Daphnia pulex: one gene and its partner. Each later gene encodes a partner of the first gene's protein in a complex. Links are inferred from orthologs where the notes say so. Each region holds a gene or a part of one and is shown on either strand. Other genes may lie near its edges.

Evidence for each region.
Region 2: WD repeat-containing protein 20-like (region 1) and ubiquitin carboxyl-terminal hydrolase 46-like share a complex: the UniProt entries of both Drosophila melanogaster proteins name them as parts of the usp12-46 deubiquitylase complex. The link is inferred for Daphnia pulex from reciprocal best matches to the Drosophila melanogaster genes CG6420 and Usp12-46.

Annotation. Positions count from the first base shown.
Region 1 is NC_060023.1:10,107,461-10,111,913, reverse strand, and holds the start of WD repeat-containing protein 20-like, read left to right. Parts: upstream 1-1,601; 5' UTR 1,602-1,914; coding exon 1,915-2,409; intron 2,410-2,480; coding exon 2,481-2,695; intron 2,696-2,778; coding exon 2,779-3,985; 3' UTR 3,986-4,453. Other genes in the region: U3 small nucleolar RNA-associated protein 25 homolog, read right to left, coding at 1-167, 229-1,379. UniProt on the Drosophila melanogaster protein: Regulatory component of the Usp12-46 deubiquitylase complex.
Region 2 is NC_060020.1:4,003,349-4,007,727, reverse strand, and holds ubiquitin carboxyl-terminal hydrolase 46-like, read right to left. Parts: upstream 2,948-4,379; 5' UTR 2,807-2,947; coding exon 2,804-2,806; intron 2,747-2,803; coding exon 2,666-2,746; intron 2,594-2,665; coding exon 2,377-2,593; intron 2,313-2,376; coding exon 2,232-2,312; intron 2,163-2,231; coding exon 1,954-2,162; intron 1,743-1,953; coding exon 1,596-1,742; intron 1,530-1,595; coding exon 1,383-1,529; intron 1,314-1,382; coding exon 1,176-1,313; intron 1,110-1,175; coding exon 1,002-1,109; 3' UTR 769-1,001; downstream 1-768. Other genes in the region: probable isocitrate dehydrogenase [NAD] subunit alpha, mitochondrial, read right to left, coding at 202-219; serine/arginine repetitive matrix protein 2-like, read left to right, coding at 3,545-3,679, 3,737-4,379. UniProt on the Drosophila melanogaster protein: Catalytic component of the Usp12-46 deubiquitylase complex.

The DNA of each region.
Region 1 (4,453 bases):
CCGTGTTTCCTGTAAATACCGCCTCAAAATCTTCTGGTTTGTAGCTCTTTTTCGTCTCTGCTTTGCCCTCGTCATCTTTTTCCTCACCAAACTCTTTATAGAAACGATCTTTATTGATAATTTGTCCTTTTGCAGGAAGCAACAATGTAGCTAATTTCTCCACGATCCTGAAACAAAAATAGTTAAAAATTAGCAAAGAAAATGTATCAAAACTGTGATTGAACTTACTTCACTGCAGAGTTTCTGAGAGGAGCGATAATTAGAACTCGAGGACGGACTAATCCTTGATCTCTATATTCTATTTCATCGGTCGCAACGCCATTTTCTTTGGCCTTTTTCAATTTGGCGTTGTGAAGAAGAACTTTGTCTCTCGATTTCATTACATGATTCAACGAGTGAAGGCAGTAAACTGTTCTAATCTCGTCATTGTTTAAATGGTTCATTTCAGGATAATAAACGTCGCGGTATTCATTTGCGAGAGTGAAAAGCTCATGCTGTAATGGGGAGAGCAGTTCTTCAGCCGTTTGTTTGTTGTCCGAGAGTGGCCTCGTATCAAGGTTGGAACATAATTGCAATTTAACACCGTATTCACTCAAGGGGATTCCAGTTTTCAATACAGGTAGACTACCAGGAATGACATAACTTTCTATTGTTTCACCTAGTAATGTAGGCTTTGGTTGACTTGTGTTTTTTTCAGGTTTGGTTGGCAGGTGAACCACCATTCTTCCAAGAACTTTCCACTTCAGTTCTTGAGTCTCATAAGGCTTGGGTGATGTCAGGATTTCTAAAAGGTTTTCATTTATTTCCCTGTCGAAATGAAGGTGGAAGGGATCCGTAGATAATGTTTCTTCTTCTTCATCACCAGAATGTTCTTCTTCCTCTGATTCAACTTCAAGATCTTCATGTATACTATTTTCCTCGTCAATTTCTTCAGCAACACCAACTGAACTACCACTTTCCTCTTCTCCTACTTCCTCATCGTCTTGAGCTGAATCTTCTTCTTCACTGCCAATGTCATCTTCATTAGATTGGTCATTGATATCTTCAGCTTCCTCTTCATCTGACTGTTCTTCATCAGATGTCAAAACTTGCTGTGCTCTACTACTGGATTTAAACATCGACAGCAGCTGTGTGTAAGGTTTGACTTCTTCTTCTGATTCACTGCTAGATGATTCTTCTTCGATAATAGGCACAGCCTCTTTTTCTTGTTGAAGCTTTTGTCTTTTACTTTCAGAAGTGTCATCTTTTTTTCCATCTCTATCTTGATTAAATTTCCTTTTGTTTTTAAAGTTACCTCCACCACGAGTCGATTTGTTACCACGGGAACCGTGGTTTTTGTAATTGCCACGTTTAGGCCCTCCTCGTCGTCCACGTCCCATTTTAAGAACAAAATAACGTTCGAATTTAATTTATCTGAAATCAAAACTCAAACTCAAATGCACGTGTCAAAATGAAAACTTTGATTGCAGACGTCCAAAGTTGCAAGAACAACACAGTTGATTAATTACAATTTAATAGTGTGCTGCCAAAAATGTATCAAAAATATATTTATTTAAATATATTTATTTATTTTATTCATATTTTTTATTTTATAAATTAAATTAAATGATTCCTTTAAAGTTGAAAATATAAATTGCCAACATGGCAACCAAAAATCACCAACCAAAATGGCGGGCGTCTGCTATCAGGGAATTCTACATCACCAGTGAAAATTAGTTTATTTACCGGAAAAGTTGACAGGTAGCAATCCTGCTTATATATAGACTGATTCACTGTTTAATAAAGCCTTCGAATGTAAAATTATCGGTGCCGTCACGATGGAAGACCGTTGTTTAAACGGTGGAGCCGACATGTTTGAATAATCAAAGTTTTGGTTATTATTGTTTGTGTTTTTGGATCGTTTGTTGTTTACCGATGGCTGGGCAAACGGATCTGAACAGTGGTAGTGTAAGTGGAAACAGCAGCCGGGACGATGTGCGAACTCATTTCACAACCAGAGAGGGAGTATATAAGTTGATAACATTAGCCGAATACTCCAGGGCAAATCGGCTGTCTGGTTACACTGCCATCCAAAGCCAGCAAGGAGCTGCGCTCGGTCAAGGTTCAAACCCTCCAGTTAGGGTTACTTTTGTGTCTCTACCATCTGATCCATCAGGTTTTTGTGACCGCATATGTTTCAACTATGGAAGGGAACTCTACTTCTACACCTACAAGGGAACCAAGAAACCAGCAGACTTGTCCAAGCCTGTTGATAAAAGGATTTACAAAGGAACCAGCCCCACTTGCCATGATATCAATAAATTAACAATCAGCAGTGAAAGTGTTATGCTTCTAGTTGGTTTCACTGGCGGACAAATCCAATTAGTAGATCCAATAAGGAAAGAAATAGGAAAACTTTACAATGAAGAGGTTTCTTGAGATTTTCTGTTTTCTTTATAAATTTATGGAATTTCAATAACATTATTTATTTTTTCCTTCAGAGAATAATTGAAAAGACGAAAGTAACATGTATCAAGTGGCTGCCAGGTTCCCCCAATTTGTTCCTAGTTTCTCATGTTTCGGGACAGATGTATCTGTACAGTGAAGATGTGACGTGTGGTGGACCAGCACCTCCGACCTATCAACTTTTTAAGCAGGGGGCCGGTTTTTCGGTCTGGACTTGTAAAGCCAAAAGCACTCGGAATCCCATTTACAGGTTATTATTCATCATTTCATTTTTAATCATTAATAAAATCAGGTTAAAGACTCCTCCCATCTAACCCCATATTTGGTTGTTAGGTGGGTGATTGGAAACGGCGCCATCAACGACTTTGCCTTCTCACCTTGCTCGAAATACTTGGCGGTTGTGTCGCAGGATGGGTGTCTGCGCGTTCTCAATTATGATGCCATGGAATTGATCGGACTGGCAACATCCTTTTTCGGCGGCTTGCTCTGCGTCTGCTGGTCACCCGACGGGCAGCTGGTAGTGGCCGGCGGCGAGGATGATTTGGTGACGGTTTGGTCTTTCCAACAAAAGAGAATCGTGGCCCGAGGACAGGGCCATCGATCCTGGATCACGGTGGTGGCGTTCGACCCTTTCACGACCCTGTATTCATCTCAATCCTCGTCTTCCAAGTCGTTGTCGAAAGAAGGAGTCGATACTTCGGTCACGTCGAACGGGACGGGCGGAATCGACGGCGAGGCGGAAACGAAATCCTCTAGCGACATTGCCACCTGTTACCGTCTAGGATCTATAGCCATGGACACTCAGCTGTGTCTTTGGGAGTTGACGGACGACGTCCTGAAACAGCCTTACGGTTCCCGGAGCCGAGCTTCAATGGTCTCAGGACCAGGATCGCCACCTTCTAGTCTGAAATTCACTGGCCAGACGCCCATTTCCGGCGATCGGAGTAGTAGCAGCAGCAGCAACAACGTTGTCACCATCACCCCGGTCAACAACTTGACCGTTTCTCCAGCACCCAGTAGTGCGACTGCCACGCCTGTCAACGCCGCAGGATCTCTCACTCAGCGGCTGGCGAATATGACATTTTCCGATAGAAAGTCGGGCCAGCAACAGGAGGCAGCAGCAACCGACTCGAAATCCCACCGAAAGAATTTCAGCCTTGGCAGTGGCCGGAATTCCACTTCGGATCGGTCGGGTAACGCGGCCAATTCGTTGGGTTTGAAATCCGTTTCTTCAGTCTCGTCCACTTCCTCCTCTGCGGGTACCACCACCACAGCGAACCCGTCGCTAGTGACGGGCTGTGCTGATCCGCTCCGGTTGATCGGCACGCAAGCCTGCCCTCGACTGGACGAGATCCCCATGCTGGAGCCGCTCGTTTGTAAGAAAGTCTCCCACGAGCGGCTGACGGCGCTCATCTTCCGTGAGGACTGCCTCATCACCGCCTGCCAAGATGGCATCGTCTGTACCTGGGCTCGGCCAATTGGCCCGTCTCCACACCACACTTCCACCAGCACACCCACCAATGAAGGCACCATGGTCTGAGATGATGATGAGAAAAAATTATCCATTCGTTACGTTCATCTCCCGTTCCTTTTTGTTTTTCCGCAATTAGCGACCGACGACAATTATCGTGTAGCCCTGTCAAGATTCTTCTTCATTAACCCCAATTCCAAACGAGCCATCTTGACCTACTCTTTTTCGCCCTCCAGTGAACAACCAAGTTTTGTTGTTTCTTCTTGTCTATCATCATCAGTTCATTTTTAGGTTTCTCTTTCTTTCTTTAACTGTGTCGTTAAACCCCAAACGGCCCTCAATTTTTCCCTCCCCTGGTGGTGGTTGGTGACGATATAACAACTTAGGGGCCCCGGATATGATTCTAACGGCATTTTGCAGATTCCTAATCTCACCACCTATCGTGCATTCTCCTTTCTTATCTTTCTCCTCCTTTTTTCTTCGATTACCTACAGGGTATAAGATGCTGTCACGTGACCTAGTGCTCCTGGCAAACCG
Region 2 (4,379 bases), on another chromosome or scaffold:
TTACGACTTTCCCTTGTTAAGCCTTACATTTCATCGGTAATATTTTATATTGACCACTATTCATTAATGTAACATTACGTAAGGGAAATTTTTCTTTGTTTTCGTAAAAGTTGATCTATCTTTCATTGAATAAAACCAATCCCTAACTACAAAAAAATGATAACAAAATTTCTGCTAATGGAAATTTTGTTTTATTCTTACCCGGCGGGTAGCGGCCATTATTTCCGGGACTAAAAGCGGGACTGATACAGTATGGGTCACCTGATTGAAATGCAGTGCAGCAGCCGACGTTTTTTTTAGAGTACTGCTCTTCTACTTTTCTATTAGGGATGCACTAGTTCGAATAAAACAAGTACGTAGATATAAACTCGTTTATGTATGTTTTATTGGACAAGTCACCAACTTAACTTCATTAGGTACTCCAATTTAAATTTAAAGGATGATAATAATAAAAAATATATATTTGCTACTTAATCGCCTGAGAGCGCGACAACATTTCTCAAACAATGAACAGGCTTAACATTAATTTGAATTTTGAACTTCCGTACTTCCCTTTACATTTTACAATCCTCCCCCTGTAGAAACCGTGCATTTTACAACCGTCAATCAAGAAGACAATTTATTCACTTAAATTCTCGCGGAACATTCTGGAAAGATTTAATTAGTAAGTTAAACAAAACTTACATTTGTCTAATTGTCTACTTGTTTTAGACATTGTTCTTTTAACTCAATTTTAAAATTATAGCAATCAAGTTTTGCTGGAAAAACAAGAGTTTATAATTTTATTACTGAACAAATGAAATATCACTATTAACAAACCTCTAGGATATTTTTCATTTACAAGGAGAACACTTTTCACTGAAAAGTTTCTATCCAACAACCTTAAATTGTTCATTCTTAATTTCTTATTACTATTCCTTCTCCTGATGTATTACGCGCGTCTTGGTACTCTTGGAGTTGGTTGATAACAAGAACTCTTCATATCCATACATTGTTCATTTTCAGGATGTGTCTCGAGATTGGTAAAAAAGGATGTAGCCAGTTTCTGAGGCTTTTTGTACATCTGACGTTAGACCATAGAAATCTTCCAATGCAGACGGATCAATTTTCTATGGAATGGAACCAAACAAATAGATAAAAAACGAATATTTTAGCAAAAATAAAATCAGAATTACGTCAACTATATCATCGTCAAATAACAGCCAAAAGTCGTGACTTTTGACAATTGATATATAATGACCACGGTTGGGCCCGCTTCCGCAATGGACGACTACTGCTACCAAGTCATACAATCTGTCAGGGCATTCTTCAGACTGTTATTTAATGAAAAGAAATCGAAATTAATTTAAATTTAAATATTTGGCTATAAATAAATTATGTACAGTGTTAAATAGCCGCAGCTCAAGTGGAAACACCACTCGATGTGAAACTTTTATGTGACGATTGTACTGTTCGACGTACTTGAACCGCTTGAGATGCAGTGCAAGGATCAAAGGAAGTTTCTTCACTCGCATGCATTTCTGAGCTTCCTGTAGAAGCGAGAAAAAAAACTAGGTATATTAAAGTGTTGGAAGTGCAAACTTAAATGAACTCACTTGATAAGAACTGCAAACATCACACTTGAATTTGTTGTCAGTACAAAGGGTTTCAGTGGACGAAAATGTTCTTAAACAATGGGTAATACTAGTATTTTGGTCAACGTCAACCTGCAGATCAAAAAAATCTTCTTCCTTGTTGCTGACCTGTGAAGAAAGTGTTTAAGGAGATTTAAAAAAAAAAGATCGTTTTCCCATGACTCATTTCTTGATTTCTAGAGCTTCTTTGAAAGAATTGCATGACTTCTAATAACTTGATAAAAAATTGTATCATTAAAAACAAAATGAAAGCTGAACCACGTAAGCAGATGTAGCCCACCCACAATGATAATTAAAAAAAAAAATGTTCAATACGTACAGTTTCGCAGTTTAAGCAGCGAGTTTCACTGGTGAGGATTCCTTGAAAAATTTCATGAACCCACGTTGATTCATGGTTTCCAGTGGACGTCATCGAACCGTTACTGCCATCAAATTTCAGAGACGCGGATCCGTTACAGGGATCTTTAGAATTCTGAACCTTTCCATTAGTTGTCGGTGTCGCTGAATTGTTTGTTTGGTGTCGTTCAGCTGTTGTTTTAAATTAAGCATTAAACCTTTTTCCAAACATGCAACTCTATCTACTCCTACTCTACCAACCTGTTATGATTTCGCTGATATGATTGATCAAGAAATTTAGAAATTCATGGGCATCTTGTTGCATATAGTTATCAAATTCTTCTAAATACGTTAAGTTAAATATTAGTTCCCAAAGCTCCCAAAAAACTATTGATGAATAAGTTGCCTTTTTCTTTCTTCAGCCTAGCAATAAACTTTTTGGGAGCTATTGTCCCAACCTTTTTCTTCTGGGTAGTAATGTTATGAAAGAGATCAGCTAGACATGTCAACAATGTTTCTTTGGATCTCTTGTTCTTCATTTTATATTCCAACACTTTTTCACGAAAAGGTTTGCAGAAATATAGAGCTTGAAGGACAGAATTTGAATAACAAGTATTCCCAAACTAGATTTTAAATTCAAACATAGTTTAAGCTATTTTCATCGACACATTTTATGTGTTATAAGTCAAACTTACATTTACAAGTCCGAAATAGTGTTCATTCGTCGGAAATTGTTCAGATCCGATTTCTTTTTCAAGCTGAGACGCGTTAGCTCCCTTAATTAAAAATATGTTTGCATCAGGGATTATTTAAAGCTATAATATAATTTTTACCATTTTTTGTTGTGTAAATTGAGAAGTTTTCTAGATGAAGTTTTCACTAATCTCGAGTATCGATGAAAATAAACACGATAGTCGCAATCGCTCAAAATACTACAGCAGTGCCAGATTTTACTTTTAAGTTTGGTGGAGGCCATTGTTATTTGTTAACTCGGTACTCGGTGTCTGTCGGAATACCTCCGTTTTTTTTTAATTATGCCATGCCAGATAAGTTCTAAAATTTAGCTATTGGTCTATAAAGTAAACTAATTAAATAGCCGTTTAGATCTAGCCTCCAGCAGTAAATACAAACATATCGCTAAACTAAGCCCAAAACTTAAAGTTTGTATTCATTTTTAGCGGGATTATTTTTTTCATTTCTTTCTTGTTATACAGCGCCACCGCTAGTTTACTAATTAAGAAATATGTATCAGTGCCATTTCTTAACATTGAATACATTTAGTTTATCGAATATAAATATATCGAAATAAAGCATTCCGGAAAAATAAAATTTATTCATATCAAAGATTTTCATTTTGAGCTAAAATAGTTAGGACTACCACTCGCCAGAGTATACCAGCTGACAGTCAGTCTATCAGTCTATCAATTGCAGTTGACTGGCCTTTGCAGTTCAGAAGTTGTTATTTTGTAGCCTATTCCCTCCAATTTCCCACAATTCGATTTTGTGCTTTGTGGCGGTAATGTCGATAAAAGGTTTTCACATTCAAGTAACATTCAAGTAATAGTTCAAATAAAATGGCGAAAGATGAGAAGATGAACAAATCGATTGAGACTAAGACACCACTACGTGCGATTGACAAGTTCTTTGATATTGCCACACCAGTTGATTCGCCTGATCTATTAGACGAAATTTTTGAACCTCCTAATAAGGTAATTTGTTGAATTCTTTGCTCCAACATGTATAATAAATGGTTTTTTTTATTTCAGAAACTTGTTCCACAAAATGAAGAAGTTGTCACACCTGTAGTAAGTTCTCAAAGTAGTCAGAGGGTTCAGAAAAGGAAACTTAATGATGAAGTACTATCTCAAGGAAATGTCTCAAAAAAGAAGAGTGTTGATGAGACACGGACTCACAGCTTTCAGGATGATTCCGTCTTTGATAACTCTGAGATTCTGTCAAACTTAGGAAGTCCGAGTTTAGATGTTCGACCAATACCAACAAAAAAAAACAAGAAACGGATGTCAATTTCTGCTTATTCCAAAGCATTCCAAAGCCAGCAGCTCGGTCAGCAGTCACAGGTGGTCAATACCTCTGATGACCTGGGTGAATCAAATATTCCTTCTGATTTAGGAAGTCCAGATAAATTACTCTCTCGAAGACCTTTGAAATCTAAGAAACATACATCTACATCAATGTTTCAAGAAACCCTTGATGGGAAAAAAGATCAACAAGAACAAGATTCTGAAGAAATCCCCTCATCTTTAGAAAGTCCTGGAAAGAAGCAAGAAGTTAGTCGCCTTCCTAACAAATCTAAAATGCGAATGTCGACTACCACCTTCAAAAAGGTGTTAGAAGATGGACAAGAACAAGATTCTGAAGAAATTCTCTCATCTTTAGAAAGTCCTGAAA